3 linked regions of the Coturnix japonica genome follow. The protein of the gene in region 2 purifies or fractionates together with the protein of the main gene of each other region. This does not show direct contact. Links are inferred from orthologs where the notes say so. Each region holds a gene or a part of one and is shown on either strand. Other genes may lie near its edges.

Evidence for each region. The genes of interacting proteins can lie anywhere in the genome.
Region 1: the proteins of ACTR3B (region 2) and ARPC1A purify together in Homo sapiens (affinity purification with mass spectrometry; 5 studies listed by BioGRID and IntAct, counting the BioPlex papers as one, with this or other methods). This does not show direct contact. The link is inferred for Coturnix japonica from reciprocal best matches to the Homo sapiens genes ACTR3B and ARPC1A.
Region 3: the proteins of ACTR3B (region 2) and ARPC5L purify together in Homo sapiens (affinity purification with mass spectrometry; 3 studies listed by BioGRID and IntAct, counting the BioPlex papers as one, with this or other methods). This does not show direct contact. The link is inferred for Coturnix japonica from reciprocal best matches to the Homo sapiens genes ACTR3B and ARPC5L.

What each region holds. Positions count from the first base shown.
Region 1 is NC_029529.1:4,391,696-4,397,764, forward strand, and holds the start of ARPC1A (actin-related protein 2/3 complex subunit 1A), read left to right. Parts: upstream 1-2,194; 5' UTR 2,195-2,327; intron 2,328-2,715; exon of another isoform or gene 2,716-2,817; intron 2,818-3,123; exon of another isoform or gene 3,124-4,036; intron 4,037-5,006; 5' UTR 5,007-5,024; coding exon 5,025-5,088; intron 5,089-5,658; coding exon 5,659-5,763; intron 5,764-6,069. UniProt on the Homo sapiens protein: Probably functions as a component of the Arp2/3 complex which is involved in regulation of actin polymerization and together with an activating nucleation-promoting factor (NPF) mediates the formation of branched actin networks.
Region 2 is NC_029517.1:6,048,504-6,054,787, reverse strand, and holds the start of ACTR3B (actin-related protein 3B), read right to left. Parts: upstream 3,524-6,284; 5' UTR 3,391-3,523; coding exon 3,347-3,390; intron 1-3,346. UniProt on the Homo sapiens protein: Plays a role in the organization of the actin cytoskeleton.
Region 3 is NC_029532.1:8,068,215-8,074,485, forward strand, and holds ARPC5L (actin-related protein 2/3 complex subunit 5-like protein), read right to left. Parts: upstream 3,876-6,271; 5' UTR 3,828-3,875; coding exon 3,688-3,827; intron 3,268-3,687; coding exon 3,195-3,267; intron 2,676-3,194; coding exon 2,499-2,675; intron 765-2,498; coding exon 702-764; 3' UTR 180-701; downstream 1-179. Other genes in the region: PPP6C (serine/threonine-protein phosphatase 6 catalytic subunit), read right to left, coding at 4,310-4,558, 5,384-5,593, 5,735-5,814. UniProt on the Homo sapiens protein: May function as component of the Arp2/3 complex which is involved in regulation of actin polymerization and together with an activating nucleation-promoting factor (NPF) mediates the formation of branched actin networks.

The sequences.
Region 1 (6,069 bases), on a different chromosome or scaffold from region 2:
GGGACTTATCATGCTTTAAACTCATGAATTTGCAGTTCTTTCAATCGGTGACTTCATCTGACCTTAAGGCAAACACTCATCATAATTCAAGAGTATTTCTGATGAGAATCAATCTTGATAAATAGTGACCTAAATGGCAGTTCTAGGACTGCAGAGGATGCAATTAGGAAAATATGACCTTTCATGTGTCCCCCTTTTAAGCATCAGATATGATATAATGCTCAGTGTCAGGAATTGCTACGTTTTCCAGTAGTGAGATGAATAACACACATCTCAAAGGCCTCTCAAACTAAGCACTGTTATCTGCAAATACCCTTTTGTTACATAGCATCTTACTTTTTGAGTAGCTGTTACCAACTGTATGCCCTTGCATACAAAACAATGTCCCAGCTCCTCCTGGCCTCCCCCCCCCCAAGTATATCCTAAGGTCATACTACTATACTACTTTTATTACAATCAGTTTGATTTGGCTTGCAAGGCCTTAATCTCCAAAACATTGGCATCCTTTCTGGATTACCACAGTTAAATTGCACCAGCAATACCACAGGAACAAAGGTGGAACGTACTCTGGAAAGCTATGCTGAAGATGAAGCCTTTAATGCTTAAAAGCTCTGCAGAGTTCCTCATTTAGATACTTTCACCCCATCTGCTGAAAATGGTTTTGAAAACATAAAGCCATGCTTAAAGTCAATTTCATTCCCGTTATGTAACGTTACTTGGCCTAGTTGAGCATCCTTAATCTGTGCAGCTGAACTAGTTTTATCGTTAAGCCAATAAGGGCTGCAGCCATTACGTATCTCAGGGCTGAAGAACCACAGCAGCACCGGTTTAGGAGCCCATTAAGCAAAGTCTCCTTCCTGAATGAAAGACCTTCCATTGTACTTCACCCATTGTGAGAAATATTTGTCTGATCTATTCTTAAAACCTCTAAGAAAAGCCTCCATGTTGCCTAGTCATCTGCCTGCTACTTTAGCTTATGGCTCCTCACCCTACTACCCCCAATGGACATGAGAGAACAAATCGTCCCTTCCCTCATGGCAGCATCCTTTTATCTATTTGAAGACTTACGTCTGTGGCTCTGTTCCCTCCAGCTCTGTAACAGTCATGTGTTCAAAGACTGAGCATTATTTTTACCCTTTTTCCTCTAAATCACACACATTTTGCTCACATGGAGCCCAGCACTGGACACACCGTTTTAGCACAGCTCAGCATGGCAGGATGCCTGTATCCTATTAGCACTATACAGACCTGCATGGCATTCACTGCTCTAACAGCAGGACATTGCTATTCAGCTTGCAGCCCACAGCAGCTCCTCCATCCCTTCCTATAACACACAGCTGCCTTTCCTAACACCAATACAACCAGCCCCACAGTTATAAGCACACAGTACTACCTGATGCTTTTTCCCATTGAGTTCCCCTCTTTGCATTCTAGCCCTCTGACAGTGCATTAATACAAGCTCAGACTTGACCCCATCTCCAAACACAGCAATTACAGGGGCTGTTTCATTATAAATGAATAATGGACCGAAGGTATTTCCCCAGACAAGCGCTGACACCAAGTACATTGTACCCCAACCAGCTCTACCATGCTGGACACAGCTTGCCTTGCTCCCTCCATCCACCGAGGCACAGCATGCCCCCCTCACACAGCCATAGAGCCCTCTTACACCTATAGACCCCCCTCACACAGCCATAGACCCCTCTTACACCTATAGACCCCCTTCACACAGCCATAGACCCCTCTTACACCTATAGACCCCCCCCTCACACAGCCATAGAGCCCTCTCACACCTATAGACCCCCCTCACAAGCCAGCACAAAGACGCCTCTTTACACTCTTACTATAACTTCCCCTCTCAGCACCTATAGGAGCCCCTCAACACAGCTATAGACCCCTCAACAACAGCCCATAGACCTCTACACCTATAGACCCCCTCACACAGCCATAGAGCCCTCTTACACCTATAGACCCCCTCACACACAACGTGAAGCCCCCCCCATCTGTGCCACATCCCCACACTGCGCATGCGCCCCCAACCCGCCCGCCGCCTTTGTGTGCGGCACATTCCTCCCTCCCCCCCGCGCATGCGCACAACGCCTTCCCGTCACGCCCCGACACCCCCCTCCCCGTCAGCATGGCGCATGCGCATCCCGCGGGGTTGGCCGGCGGGCGGCGCGCATGCGCAGTGCGCGTTTCCTGGCTCCCTTGTCAGTGCCGGGCCGCCCCCCTTTCCCACCCCTCCCCTCGGCCGCCGCCGCCGCCCGGAGCGGAGTCGCGTTGACTGCCCAGAGTCCGCGAGCCCCGCTCCGCCCCCGCAGCCTCAGGTGAGTCCCGGCCCCGACCGAACGGCTGGCCGCCCTCAGGCCCAGCTGCTGAGGGGGCGGCGGCTCTGCAGCACTCAGCCGCGGCCTGCCCGCCGTGCGGGGCCCGTACCCGGCCCTGTGCTCATAGAGGGGCGGGTGGGCCGGGAGAGGGGGCGGCGGGGCAGCTCCGTCCTTGTCCGCACCGCACAGCGGCCTCAGCACCGGGCACCTGTGTGGGACGGCACCGCCCGGCTGAGTGCGGCCACCGCCCCGACGGGAACGGGCCGATATGACAGCGGGGGGAGGCAGCGATCAGTCACAGGCAGCTCTGGAAATAGGCAGAGATTTACAGCAGCTCTCACACTCACACTGTCTGTAATTTGGAAGCATCTCCTCGCTGTCTCCTTACCTCGTGCTTCTCGAGAGGTGACAGCAGCTCAGTCCTGGGCTTCTCAGGGCTGAGTTTCTGAGGGGCTGTGTGGGTGAGCAGGAGGAATTTTGGCACCCTGCCCTTAAAAGAAAATATTGAAACAAGGACAATTAGTTTGCATTTGAAAGGAAGCTCTATCTACCTAACAAAGTTACCTTGACAGTGCCTTTCCTATGTTAAATCCTGAGCTTGGCAGACAGGAGAACACTGTGGGGTTTATGCTGTATTGGTTACATCAAGTCATTCAGCCACTGATAAGAAATAAATCTTCATAAGATCTTACAAACAGTATTTATCTCCCCAAAGGAAATAATATTGCAACGATCAGATGGCAAATATTTGTGCTCTTTGAGATTGTCATCACTGTTCTTTCTTAATGAACATTACCTGCTTGCTGTGAGTTGTGGTGCTTGAGAAGGATGAGGATGCATCATGTCCCTTGTCCAGCTGTAAGCTTTGGGAACAGCCTGTAGGTTAGTGAGCAAAACAATCTCTGAACTAGGAGCTGTTAGGATGGGACAGCAGTGTTTGTACAGGGAGCCAATCTGTGCAGAAAGCACGAGGACTGCATTAGAAATAGCTGCATTCTTCAGGCAGCAGAGATTGGATAGTTTTACTTTGTATTTGGAAAGAATCAAAAAGGCTGAGCATTCCCTGTTGGTAGAAGAGCTCGTCAGCTTTTCTTGTATATGGAAATGCACTGCTACTGAATTGCTGGCATGTATTAAAGCAAGACTGGGGAAAAAGCAATTTGCTGTGATGTTTTGCTTATGTTAATGCATGGAATCTCACACCATAGCTGCCCAAGGTCAGAGGTAACTTGGATCATGGCAGTTCTCTCACATTAATAAAAATAAGTAATTATTCTTCTGAGGGCTGTACTCAAATAGCAGCTTTATGTGATCTTTAGCATATGATTATTAGAAGAAAATTAGAACAGTTACAATTATGAACTGGACTTAAAATGAAGTTCAGCTAAATGAGCTTTGAGTACATTTAATGACACTGCAGATCATGGCTTTCATATATAATATAGATTACTATATATATATATATATGAACAGTGCTGCATCATCTCTACTCAGGACTTTAGGCATATTTCTTAAAGCAGGGGAGTGCTCAGCTCTGTAAGGGGTTACTCATCTCTCATTCACTCCTGAGTTTCTGTGGGACTGCCGTTCATTTCCTGTTTGCTTCCAAATTCCTACCTTGTCCTGAAGTCTCCACCCTCTGCTAACATGGCCATACTTGGCTATGTTGTAATTTCAGGCTGCGATGGGTGTGGATGTCTTGGAGTGACATCACAGAGATGGTGCTTTTTAGATGTATGCAGTGGGGCAGACCGACAACGTGCCATCAGCCATGGATAAATTGCTACAAAAGTTTGTTTAATATGTGAAAGGAGGAAGAAATGGACAAATCCAAGTTGTGTGTGTTGAGCTGTGCACATTGCAGCTGTTGCAGGTGACCTTGAGTTGTTACAGTGCTACCTTCCATCCGTTTATGCTGTCCTTGATTAACACAGGACACAGAAATAAGATCTGATATATTAAACAGCTTCGCAGTCACCTGTTTGCACTGTCTCTTTCATAAGAGAAAAGAAAAAACTGGGTGTCTCACTTTGTATGAAACAAAGCATTCACAAACCCAAAGAATTCAATTTGATCTTTTACTGTTTGAGTCTCATAAGGATGGAAGCCATAAAGCAATTAATTGTTAGGATTAATTTGAAGGAATTAGTAATTAATTACTGATGTTAGTAGTTTTTCCCTGGGATACACATAAGTAGTTTTATCAAGCAACACATCAGCAGATTACAGTCACATCTGAGCACATCAGCTTAACCTCCTGATGGATGGAAAAGAAAAAGGCTTCATTGAGGCTCACAGCACTACAATACACACCAGAATGTCAAATCAGTTCACTGAGACATCACTGAATTTCTTATTTAAGTATTCTAATTCCCCAGTTAAATTCTTAGGTGTGTTAATTTCATAAGAACCTGTTTCCTCTTATGAGGATACAGGAAGAAACAAGTGCATACACCTTTTAGAGCAATTCATTGACCTACTAAAGATCTTGGGGCACACAGGGAAAGGTCTTAATTACAATGACACATGCACAGTAGATAGATCATCATAGTGGACTGAAGCAGCCTTTGTAGATGTTCAAGACCGATTTGTTTTTATAACTGTTCAACTTTGAAGTGCTTTGTTGTCATTTTTACATCTTTACGTTTTTTTTCCCCCCCCCCAACTTTTACAACATAGGAATATCTTTAACTCGGAATGTCTCTACATCAGTTCTTATTGGAGCCAATCACCTGCCATGCATGGAACAGAGACCGTACTCGTAAGTAACCTTTTCATTTACTTTTTCAACCGCTCTTTTCTCTGTGCTGTCAATCGGATCATCTTGAAACCTTCTGGACCACATTCAAGAAAGATGTGGTCAAATACATAACGCTGCACTTATAACCCAAAAAGCACATTACATTCCTAAATCTGGTTTTGATTTTTAGACCCTCTTTTGAAACTTTGACATGTGAGCAAACCCAGTCTTAGTGGAGCTCCAGAAAGTCTTGCCTTGGTCTTTACTTCATGAGAACATGACTTATCTCATACTCTTTAACCTCTTATTTCCCAGCCCCAAACCCAGCCTTTTCTTTTTATATATAGTCTTCTACTGAAGAAGGATAGTTATATTCTAAATGCACTGTCTTTCTGTTCAGTGTACTCACAATTGTGTTACAACCATCATTATTTGATATTATCCAGCAGGGATGTTAGCCCATCATTTACAAGGCCTATGTACTCTTAACTTTCAGAGCATTACAAGTTTTAGACTGAGAAGTTTTCCCCAAGTAAAAAGATATTAAAAAGAGCTTTCTGTACTAATGGACTGTTTCTTTTCTTCTACAAGAAATTGCCATTAGTCCTAATAATCATGAAGTTCACATCTACAAGAAGAATGGGAGCCAGTGGGTAAAAGCTCATGAGCTAAAGGAACACAATGGACACATTACAGGTAAGCAAAGAGCACACTGTGCCAGACAGCAATTTCCCTGCACCCTTCTTTCTCTAGCCAAGCATCTGAACAGGAAATCTGCAATAAATAGATCTCCTTGTATGTTATAATTCCCACTTTATGGAGAACTTTGTTGCATTTTCCTGGCCTGCATGCAGTAGGCTGTTGGGTCGTGGCTTCTGTCTGCATCTGCAACAAATAGCCTGTTTCAGGGACTCATTTCACCAAGTTTGTATTGGTACATTTCTCCTTTCTCTTTGCTACAGTACACTGGCTATAGGATCTTAAGTGTTTTATGTGCCACAG
Region 2 (6,284 bases):
ACGTGCAGATAATCAGTATTCCAATTTCATTAAAAGTAGCAGATTTATTGCCAGCGAGATAGGAACCTACTGGAAACTCTACAAAACATACCATATTGAAGACGGCATTAAAGATCAGTAGGAACGTGTTCCAGTAGATGGAGCATAAGGATAGGACAAGGGGGAATGATTTTAACCTGAATGGGGGTAGTTTTAGATTAGACAGTAGGATAAACTCTTCACGATGAGGGCAGAGAGATCATGGCATAGCTGCCCATAGAGCATCCCTGCCCCATCCTTGGATGTGCTCAGGGCTGGGTGGGCCTAAGGGAGAGTTGTCCTTGCTAATGCCAAGGGGCTGGAACTGGATAAGCTTTAAGGTGCCTTCTAACCCAAACTGTTACGTAGCCCCACAGTTCTAAGTTTGAACATTTCCGAATTTCTTTAGTTTTATTGTTTTAAAGATGGAAACCAAGAAGCAACGTGTCAGATCCACAAACGAGCTCTGAAGAGACAGAACTACTGAGAACACCAAAAGGCCTTAAGGAAGAGCAGTATCATTATTACAGATATCCCTGAGAAACTCCAAACGCGAAGTCCTTATAAAGATGTGGAGATGCACTTTAGGAATGAAGGAGGATGTGAGGAAGGAATAGGAATGAAGAAAGAATGCAGTAGAAAATAATAGGAAAAGCCATGTCTGCACAATGTATAGAGAAGCATCACCAACCTCTACATTAATAAACTGCAAATTAGAGCCATAGCTTTGGGAGAGACTGGTAGGACCAGGACTGAAGCCTGTGATTATAAATAACAGCTCATTAACCCATCCTCCTTACACCCAGAACAGCAATTAGAAACGTAGCTGTGCACGTCTCACGTGTAAAGAGCAGAGATAATAATACTTGCACGGAACAACTCATTTCACATCAGAAATACAATAATAAGAAAAAGCATTGCAAGGTTCCGGCCAACTTTAATGGCAAAAGCAACAACAACCCCTCAAGTTTCAAGCTTTAAGACAAGTAGAGCTCACTTCACCCAGAAATCAAGTATTTACTTATAAGCTGATCAGTAACGCTTGGCCAAAGTCGGCTTTCCTTACTAAAATAAAAATCACTTGAATAAAATACACCTAAAAATAGAAGCATTCCTCGATGCCTGAAGATGAAGAGCAGTATTTTAAGCCACCTCCGTTCCGCCCACCCACTTAGTGGAGTGCTGATGTCCCACAGCTAAATGCCAATTAATAAAACCAGCCACCAAGTTTAAAGCCTCTTGGAACAGCAACACCAGAGAGGCCTGGTACTGCGAAGGCCCTAAAAATAGCATGTCCTTCTGCACATGAGGACTGACAGCAACACATAAGCTGATCACCAGGAAAACCTCACTCAGAGAAAACAAAGACGTAGTGCATCAAAACCAGAGTGGGATGTTCCATTTGCAAATGCATTTTTCTTCTCATGCACAAAATATACCACAGTGCATCTGCACACACCTTGCTGTTTCCGTAATGCTCTTCCAAGTTTTTCAGCTGAAAGCCTTTACATGAATCATTTGAATGAATTGTTCCAAGCCAGCAACGCAAAGTAGATTCATTCTAACAATAAGAAGGTTTTCAACCCACACAGAGGAAAATTCCAGAGACTGGATCAGTGAGTCAAGCTAATTCTGGCTGCTTGGAGCAGAATCTTACGTCTTCTTGTTCTGCAAGATGATTTACTTCAGATAAAGTCCCATCAGCAGAGACACCACATTGTCTCACAGAATCACAGAATGACCCGGGTTGGAAGGGACCTCAAGGATCATGTAGTTCCAACCCGCCTGCCTGGCAGGGCCACCAAACATACACCTTTACTAGATCAGGTTGCCCAGGGCCCCGTCCAACCTGGTCTTGAACACCTCCAAGGACGGGGCATCCACAACCTCCCTGGGCAGCCTGTTCCAGAGCATAACCACTCTCCTAGAGAAGAACTTTCCCCTAACATCCAACCTAAATCTTCCCTCTTTCAACTTAAAACCATTTCCCCGTGTCCTGCTATTGTCAGCCCTTTCGAATAGGTCTCACACCTATTAAGATCACTTGGAGGCATGGAAATAACAAGTCCACTTGTGGGCTGTCTGAACCCTTTCTGAAACAAGGTACTATACCTGTATACACACAGATTCCAGCTCCTACAAAGGACAGACAGACATATTTTGTGCACGTTCTGGATTTGGCAGTTCATAGCATATCTTTTCTAAAGGACTTACCTAGAGTTCCCCTTTCCCCAAGAAAAGCTCTTCAATTCTGTGAAGTAACATTCCTGAAACACCAAAGTTCCTTGCAGAACAGATACTTAAAATCTCTTTGGGATTTATACATGGGAAATTACCATGGAATATCAGACAGGCAGAATTACATACAAGATGGAACCCATTCTCTGTTCTACTCCCAGAGCTTTCAGCTGTGGACTCCAGTATTCTCCACTGAGGAGACTGAACTGATTTCAGGTCATATAAGCAGAGACAGCACGAGAGACTTGTGAAAGTTTTGTCACAGCTTAATAAACTTCAAAATACAAAATCCTTTTACAGAAGGTGGTGAACCCATCAGCTAAATGGGTTGCTCTGGTTACCTATCACTTCTTTTTTAAGTTATCTTTCTTTTCCTTTTGGTTTTCATACAATAGCTTAAAATTTGGAAATTTTAAAGAGAAATTTCCAGGCATCACCTGAACCAAAACAGTGCAACCAATTCCCTGCAGAAGGAAGGGCTATTCTTGCCATCAGTAAATGAAATTGCTGACCCTAAAGCACAGCCTGACATGCGAAGTTACCAGCTGAACTCATGTACCACTGTCTTTTCTCTTCCTGAGAGCTTTCGATCACTGCAGGGCCAAAGAAAAGAGTGCAGTGCATCTCCAGCATCTCCATCACAGCTCCCTCGGTCACCTCCCACTCCTGAGGCACAACAGCAGCACCAACAGACCCATCAGAAGCTGGCGGTCCTCACTAGACACAGACAGGTAGTTAAGATCTATCCCTCTGCAAAGCCAAACGCCCAGCACAGCCTCTGCAGTTCAGATTCACTCCTCACAATGACAAGTTACAAAACTCGTGGTTTGGCTAAACACTGCATAGGTTATAGAATAAGTTACAGTACATTACTTGCCCAGGCAGGGTAAGTATAGATCTTTCTCCTCACGGACGTTCCAAATGTCATTCCCACGTTTAGCATTTAAGTCCTTGGATCGTTGTAAAGTCAAAGAACGGAAAAGAGGAGAAACGGGCTCGTTGGGACACAGCACCCCCCCCCCCCCCCCCGTCACACACACGTCGCCAAAAAGGCTGTGACCGCCGGTCCCCCCCCGCTCCCCACACTCACCCGGTGCCTCCGTCTATCACGCAGGGCGGCAGGTAGCTCGCCATGCTGGGGAGCCGGCCCTACACCGCACACAGCCCGCAGCCGGCTCCCCCCCGGCCCGGCCTCACTGCATGGGAGCCGGAGGGGCGGCGGGCACCATGCAGCCGCCTGGCAGCGCTGCCTACAAGGCGCATGCGCCGCCCACCGGCACTACGTGACGTGACCGGCCGCCTTGGGCTCTTGGCGGCCATCTTAGGAGGGGGCGGTGTGCCCGCGAGGATGGCTGAGGGAGGGACTTTCTCCTCACCTCATCCCCTTGTCATGGGCTTCAGAACACAGTGAATGAAGTTGCTGAACGGTGTTTAAGTCAGCAGTGTTGTAGCGTTGTTTGGGGCATCACAGAATAGTAGGGATTCAAAGGGATCTCTGGAGATCTTGCAGTCTGAGCAGGAATATCTCCAGAGATATCCTTGGATATCTCCAGAGAAGGAGACCCCATAACCTCTCTGTGCAGCCTGTTCCAATGCTCTGCCCTCTGACAGTGGAGTTCTTCCTTGTGTTGATTGTGCACCATTGATCACAACCCTCAGAGGGGTAACCGTCACTGAGCGAGTACACAATGACCAAATATACATTTATTGGGTTAAAAACTTCTTTTAAACCTCGCAAAGGACACAGCAGAGTAAGAGAAGGAAAACTTCTTTTAAGCCTCCCATGGCCACAAAGGACACAGCAGAGTTAAGAGAAGGAGAAAGAGTTCACCACACCCCAGCAAACACTGCAGATGCTGGTGTCCCTCAGAGCAAGGCTCACCTCACAGGTCACGTCTGAGTGGTGGTGGGGTTTGCCCCGCCAGCATTTAACCATTCAATCATGAAAATACTAATTGTGTTCCTCTGGGTGCAGGTGGGTGCAGCACAGCCTGCATATCTGCATATCCCCTGAGCTGGCTACAAGCAGACCCAGAATACACTGAATTAATACCCAACTCTCAAAGCATTTGAGAAAACAAAAATAATAAGCTGCAACAAACATCACCTGCAAAGTTGTTGACATCCTATTTACATATACGATTATGATTCCTCATACGTGACTCAGCCGTGGTCATGCTATGAGTGCATGGTAACAGCACCAGAAATAGGCCTTGCAGATGCTTTGACCCCTGTGTTAACCACAGGGATACATTTATTAACCATGGGGGTGTTGCTTTTTATCAGCCCCTCCCAGTCGAGCACTGCTGTGTTGCTCACACAGAAACAGGCTTTATATGAAACAATGAGAATATATCCCCTGGTCCTCAGAAATGCCATCTTTGGTGCAATAACTGTAGAGTGTTGCGGATGCCTGTGGGGTTTATTCAGCCATTTACCCCACACCGAGCTCATTCACTCGACATATTTGCTCACACTGGTCCCCATAGAAATTTTGGAAGATAACAGAGCATGGTGGAAGCCAGCCCAGTTTGTGTGTTGGAAAGGCTCCCTTATCAGTGTGCTGAGACAGCTTAACAGGCAGGCTCTAATAAGTGCACCCAAGGATTGGGGATTCAAGGTGGATGGAAATCATCTGCTTCTTCTGCAGTCAAGTCTGAATGATGCATTAAAGGCACTGCATTGGGATCCAACAGGAAAGGAGAAAAAAAAAAAGAAAGAAGAAGAATTCTTTGACATCCTTGGCCAAAATCCCCCCTCTCACATGCTGTCGCACAATATGCTATGTTTAGAGAATACACGCTCATATGCTACATAGGCACATTTCTGTAATATTTCCTACCATTCTCAAGTTCCCTTTCCACCCCCACCCCCCAGCTGCGATGGCTGAGAAGAAAGCTTCATCTGGAAGAGGAGATACTGTGATAGTTCACACGTAGCCTGCAGGCTGCATGTAGAAATTCAATTTGCAAACAGCTGCAGAGGTTTGAAACATTTGTGCTCTGCCCTTTTTCTTCTCAAGATGTTTATTGCCATCCCTGGGGCATTGATTACTACCCCCTGGCTCTCCCAGCTGTTTGCTGTAGTGCTTCCTAACCCACTTCAAGCAGGATCAGCTGAGATAGTTCAAACAGTTTAAGTAGGTGCTGTGCACTAATCTAGTCAATTATGCCTGAAGAGGGTTAGGGAGCATTCAAATTGCTTTGTTAGCAGAGGGGAAGGGATGGGATTGGATCAATCATTGTAATATTTTGAGCTGTTCCAGCTGGATCCAGAAGAAAATATCTGTCCACAGTCAAGTAGCATAGAGACAAGACCATGGAGAACCAGGAAACTATTGTGGCTATACATTCCACTCTGTGCTGGTGAGGCCTCACCTGGAGTACTGTGTCCAAGTGTGGAGTCCTCAGTACAGGAGAGCCATAGACCTGTTGGAGTACATCAAAGGAGAGATGCAGAAATGATTCAAAGGATGGAACAGAACACCCTGCCTGTGAGGACAGGCTGAGAGAGCTGGGGCTGTTCAGCCTGGAGACCTGAGTTCAGACTTTCAGTATCTAAAGAGGAGCTACAGGAGAGAAGGGGATAGACTCTTCAGCAGGGTCTGTAGTGATGGAACATGAGGAAATGGTTTCAAGCTTAAAGAGGGTAGATTTAGGTTGGATGTAAGGAATAAGTCTTTTACAGTGAGGTTGGTGAGGCACTGAAACAGGCTGCCCGGAGTTGTGTTGATGCCCTATCCCTGGAGACTTTCAAGGTGAGGCTGGATCAGGCCCTGGGCAACTTGATTGCGCCATGGGGTCCCTGCTCAATGGAGTTGGACTATGTGGCCTTTAAAGAACAACAGTTTGACAAGTTTAAGCTGTACTGAAAGGAAATGACATCCAAGAAGGTTAGGTAGTGTCAGTTTGAATATCTGTGGAGCCTACCATGAGTTACACGATTAAAGCTCTGCTGTTTCACATTGCTTTGTTTACACCCCTTTTCACCACAGTATTCACAAGCCTTTGAGGGATGTATTAAATGAT
Region 3 (6,271 bases), on a different chromosome or scaffold from region 2:
TGGCAGCTGTGTCAGCTCTACCAAAAGGAAGCAGGGCCCAGGCTCCATGCAGCCAGAACCTGAGCACTGAGCTCAGTTTGAAGACAAAGTTTGGAAATGAGTGCTCATGTAGAGGTAGACACTTAATGTAGAAATGCTATTGAGGGCTTAATTTTGGGTGCCAGAAATCAACAATTGACTTAACTTGTATGATCCAAGAACTTTATTGATGCAGCAGGCACTTTACAATGAAACCAACCCCAAAGTCCAACCGTCCTCTGACCATATATATACATACATATACAAAATCATCTTTCTAATAAACACTTATCCCATTCATAAACTGTCAGAATCTTGCAACTGTGAAGACCATAGCTCCCTCTTAAATAAGTAGCACAGACAGGATCTTGGATCACCACGCTTTGATAAAGCAGCATCTGAAAATACCTGCTCACTTTCAGTAGTAGGAGGCAGGAGTTTGCCTTCTCTCTGCCTTAAAAGAAGCAAGCAGGAGAATGTCTTGGCTCCTGTACGTGATAGTCAGAATATACAGGAATACCTTTACTCTTTTCCCACCTTTAATGTTAAAAGCAGTCCAAGAGGAGGTTTCCATAGTATTTCAGTAGATTGGAATCTCTAATCAAGATGGACCAGCATCACTTCAGCTACTTCCTTCTTCTGGGTCCAAAACTGATGGTTGTCTTGCTTCGAGTTAATAGTCTTTAAACAGTCTTTCTTGCTGTAAGAACTCTTACTATGGAACCTAGTCCACCTGCTGCTAATGCCTGTGGGGTGGGAGAAGGAGACAAGATCAGTTCTACAGTCACACACGGCTTACGATGAAACCTTCATTGTTCTTAGCAGCCTGCAGGGCTGGCAGTGGTTCTGCTGGTACAACTTGTGTGTTCCGTCACACAAAGCGCACGCTGTATTTGTTAACTCCTAAGCAATGTTTTATGCTAATTGCTACAACCAGAGCATCAGTTCTCAAGTTGTTCCACCCCTCTGTACCTGTGCAGGTACCTTCTGCACTGCTAAAACCTTCAGCTTCCTGCAGTAACAAGTTCTACATTCACACACTTATTCCTTTGCCACATTTCAGCTCCTTGCCTGTTCCTGTCTTGGGCCATGAACTCGGGAGCTCTATGCCCCCTGTCCTCTCTGAACGTACAGATGAGCTCCTTCTTTGACCCAGGTTTTTGCAGTACATACACAGCGCTACTCTCTAAACATGCTATAAATCTAAGAAGCAAGGAAATGAAGGGTGGACAAAACAGCTCATTGTAACACATCCCACCACATCTGAAGGCTAAAGTACACAAAACCTTATGAACTGACTTGCATCTAGTGAAGGACACCGATGATGCAGAATACCTTACACTCCTGCTCCTGAATGGGGAAAGGAGGAAGGGCTTAGTCTGGTTTCATTTGCATCCTTAATAAAAATGAAACATTCTTCTAAAGTCTAGGAGGAGATGCATGTAAGTGAGGGCCGCAGAGGAGCTGCTCAGATTAGACCTGACGGATGCAGAAATGGCATCAGGCCCTTCCAGGGGCCAGGCAGGTGCTGCTGAGCTGCTGCCCACAGTCAGAGTGAGCTGCACGTCCTGCCTGCACTGCTGGAAAGCAGAACACAAAGCTCTAAGCAGCTCCCTGCACACTGCACAACTGCAGCTTTCCTTTGAAAACAAAGGGGAAGAGATGCTTGCACGTGTCTACGTGTTCTGAGCAGTGACTTCTTTCCAGTCAGGGCAGTCTTGTGTAATGTTACGTACTGGGAGTATCAACCTACGGTGACCCAAAAAGAGCCTCCAGTAGGAAGAACAACACAAAATGTCAAGCACAAACATGTTCCTTCCTGTGCAATTTCCTCCCCCTCCTGCCTATCGATATTCTGCAAGGCTGGGGACAGCTGCCAGGAGCTGGAGTCACCATTGCACAACTTGTTTTAACTCATCACAAGGAAGCACGCCCTGTGCAAATGACCGGCCAGCAGCCAGCTGTGAGCACAGCACATACAGCCCCCCTCGCTGCGACCCTGCCACAGAAACGCCACTAAGTGCCACTGAGGCATCAAAGCCTTTACTGTGCAAACTGAGCAGGTTTGCTATAACTGGTCAGCTCGGATGTACTTCAGCACAGCGTTTCACTGACAAAAAGCATCACATCTGAGCCATCCTGGGCACCCCATGAGCCAAAGGCACCTTCAATCAATCAATCAATCAATCTCACCTCCACTCCCAGCTGCTGCTCCTTGTGGGGGAAACCACCACCAGACACAAGTCATAAACCTTCCTGCAGCTGACGCTGCTCTGCCACACCCACCCCTCCCATCCCTCCAGGCTGAGGAGAGCTCTGAAGTACCACAGAAACTCCATACGCCCAACACCAAGAGGCCAAGAACAAAAGGCAGCACCGAGCTCTGCTCCTCAGGGAGGATCCCCCTCATCGCACACCTCCCCATCCAGGAGGTCCTGAAAGCACCGACAGTGACAACAGAGCCCAGAGCAAACACTCACCTTTTCATGCCATTGGAGTAATATTGCACTGCTATTTTCTGTCGGCTTTTCAAATCCTTTATAAATATACTTCATTAACAAGTCAATCCCGTTTCTGTCTAAGGAGTTCACCGCTTGTTCAATTTCACTGCTCTTAAAAGACGTGAGGACTCTGAGCATGGTGCCCTGCGCCTGCTCCTGCACAGGAAGGAAAACGGCATTAGGATCAGCAAAGCTGGATGTGACCCCAAGTGCAGCAAAGCACTCGGAGCAGCGGCTGCGCTGATGGTGTGAAGATGCAGCAGCCAAACAGGAGGAAGTTTTACACTTTAAGTTTCAGTAGTGAGAAGGAAGAAGAGCAGAGAGCTTTAAAACTGGACTTGTTGGTGTTCCCACCTGGGGGGAACCACCTGAACTGCACTGCAGAACAAACCTACAGCCCGAGAACAACGAACAACGTCCGGCTCCTGCAGCACAAGATCCCCTGGGCTGTGCTCTGTGCTCCCTCTCAGCCCCCGGCTGCTGCCGGCCGCGTTTCCCCACAGCACGGGCCGCTCCCCGGGCACACAGCAGCACCGGGCCGTCCTACAGCAGCACCGCGACACCCGCACACAAACCGCAGCGCCGTCCTTCAAGAGCAGACGGACGGGAGGTGCCATGGAGCACAAGGTCAGCGCCGGGGGCGCCGCTCGTTACCGGTCCCGGGGCCGCACTCACCTTCATGGCCGCGCTGCGCGTCTGTGCGGGGTTGTTCCTTAGGGCCGCGTGCAGCGCGCGCAGCGCTTCGCCTCTACGGCGAGAGTCAAGGAGCAACGGCGGCACCGGGAGCACCGGGACGGAGCGATAAGGGGAGGGGGCAGGGGAGGAGGGCGCTGCAAAGCGGGTACCTGAACTACGGCCACACAACGGCAGCGGGGAGGGACGGGACCGGGGGCAGCACGGAGGGCAGCACCAAGCAGCACCGAGCAGCACCGGGCAGCACCGGGCAGCACCGAGCGGCACCGGGCGATACCGGGCAGCACCGGGCGATACCAGCCAGCACCGGGCAGTACCGGGCAGTACGGGGCAGTACCGAGCAGTACCGAGCAGTACCGGGCGATACCGGGCAGCACCGGGCAGTACCGAGCAGCCTCAGGCCGCGCTCCCGCCCCGCAAACCTTCCCGAGGCCCCGCGGGCAGCGCTCGGTGGCCGTGCCGCCATGAAGGATACTGCCTCAGCAGCGCCTCCACCTCGGGGCTCGCGTCGGGTTCGGCCGCCGCCGCCTCCTCGGGCTCCTCCACGAAGCGGTTCTCGTCGTACTGATCGATGTCCAGGCGGCGGAAGCGGGACGAGAGCGTGCTCCGCGCCATGCCGACGGAACCGGAACCGTCGGAACCGGAACCTCCCCCGCCGCTCCGCCGGAACCGGAAGCGCGGAGCCCGCCCCGCCCGGAGCAGGAAGGAGCGGAGCGGAGTGCGCCCCCCCGTCCCGTCCCGTCCCGTCCCGTCCCGTCCGGCGCCACGGAGCGACACGGCGCTGAAAAACCACAACGAGCCTTTAATTACAAAGTGGGCGGCGGCACCAACGGCCGCGGAACTTTGCTGCTGAAATCTCGTACATCTACGGGAGACGAACGGAGCCGCACGGAGCACCGGGAGCAGCCGAACGGCGCCGCTCAGCGGAGAAACGAACAACGAGCGGTTCGGATCCGCACAAATGGATCCGGGGGAGGGCGGGGAAACGGCTGCGCAGCGCAATGACAACGAACGGCGATAAGTTAAAGATAAAAGGCAGAGGCGGCATCTCAGCAGCAAAGTGCTCAATAAAAAGTATATTGTAGGGCGGGGGCGGCTCAGAGGAAGTAGGGGGTGGTTGTCCGGGGAGGGATCACCCGCTCTGAGTCTGGGACGGCGCGGAACAGCCTCGGTTCTCTCGTATTTACGTCCTGGAAGACCATGATGGAAGCGATGTTCCCGCAGCGATAGCAGTAATTGGGAGCTGACCACACCGTTACCAACTTCTCGTCAAACATGAATTTGTAGCCTTCGTGAACCAGCTGATGTGCTCTGCAGATGAGCTTCAGGTTGTTGATGTGGACAAACTGCAAAGAAAAGTGGCGTGTCACAGCTCTGTGCGTGGCCGCGCAGCAGCTGCTGCCCAGCAGAGCTCCTCAGCGCTGTGTGGGCCCAGCTCCGGGCTCAGCTCTGGGCTCTGCAGCGCTGACAGCACTGACCCACCCGGGAGGTTTTCCCAAGGCCTCTGAGAGGTGCAGGCTGTGCTAAGGACACTCCCTGTGTCCCTGTGCTCCCAGCACAGCTCTGCGGCCCCAGCCATGTGTGCCCAGCACCCCCACAGAGCTGGGACTGAGCTGATGGTGCTGGGAGCAAACCGCTCCTGTCAGAGCACAGAGGGCAACTTTGGGCTTTGAAACCTGAACAGTGAGAAACACTCCTGCCTGTGACAGCCGTGGTGCCTAGGCCTGCACTGCCCACGCCTTTCAATCCCTCCTGAATATGCTGCAGAGGAGCAGAGAACAACACACTGCATGAGGCAGGGATTCATCTTAGGGCCGGTTCAGAAGCCTGGGAAGTTCAGTGGGTCTGAGCCTCTTACTATGTTGCAAAGTAACAAAAATTAAGTCAAAGCTAGTATTTCTTCTTCCAAATCATTAGACAAGTATTCTACACAAAGCCTAGTAATTCTAGTTAGTCTCACTGCATTACACTTTTTAAACACAAGGTGTGCATTATCTCACTTGGCACTTTATGAGGGGAAAAGAGTATGTCACGAGAAAACCTCCCTCACCTCCACACCAACTCAGTCCCCTCACAAGGGAAGTTCCTTAATCCACTCGTCACTACAGTAAAGTCAAACACTTCATCTCACACCTGCAATTATGGGACGCAGCACAGGACGGCATCGTTACCTCATTTGTCACCTTAGCACCAAACAGCCAACCCGCCCCTCGCGGACTGATGGCCCACGTATCCACATCTTCTGGATCAGACCAAACCAGGTCACAGAAGGCGCCTTTATGAGGAATTTCTTGATTACGTTCAATGGTGCGAATCTGATCGAGTGTCTTGATGTCCGGAGACAATCCACCGTGCACACAGAGAATCTGCTCATCTATTAGCTGGAGAGAAAAAGGAACACAAAGAATGCTCAGTATTTCAACCAAACCAAGAACCTCTCCAGCACCACCCTCACCACCACCAATTCTTCAAGTTATATTTAGACAATCTACCTGTATCTTTTTTAAGGTGTTTACACTTACAGCTGCTATTGTGAGCATGTCAAAGACTTTGGTGCAGTATCTCCAAGCATTAGCATTTCCGTATTTGGTTTGGCACTCATCTGTTAAATAGAGAATTTTTTTCTTCTTAACAGACCAGAAGGAATTCAGGCAATATGATCAGAGTCAAACAGAACAGAACCTAAAAAGGCAGATGTAAACCAAAAAGCAAACAGACAAATAAAAAACAGCTGGGAGCAACCGGTGAGCACTGGCTGGAAAGCACTGCTCACTGCTTCTGTGGTCCACCAGCAGGGAGAGAACCTCAGTATCTACTGCTGTGTCTTCAGCAACAGACAGAGGAAAAAGCAACACGACAGACAGCACCTCAGCATCTTCCCACCACTGACTGCCTGGGAACAGCCCCCCTGCTCACCCAGCAGTGTTTATACTCTACATTTCATGCAAGAGAAGTGAGGCAGAAACAGTGAACCCATCAGGGCTAATTAGAGACCTTTTCACTACAAATAAGTGTTACAGTAGCTTTGTTTGTAGCTATACAAACACATCAATAAAACT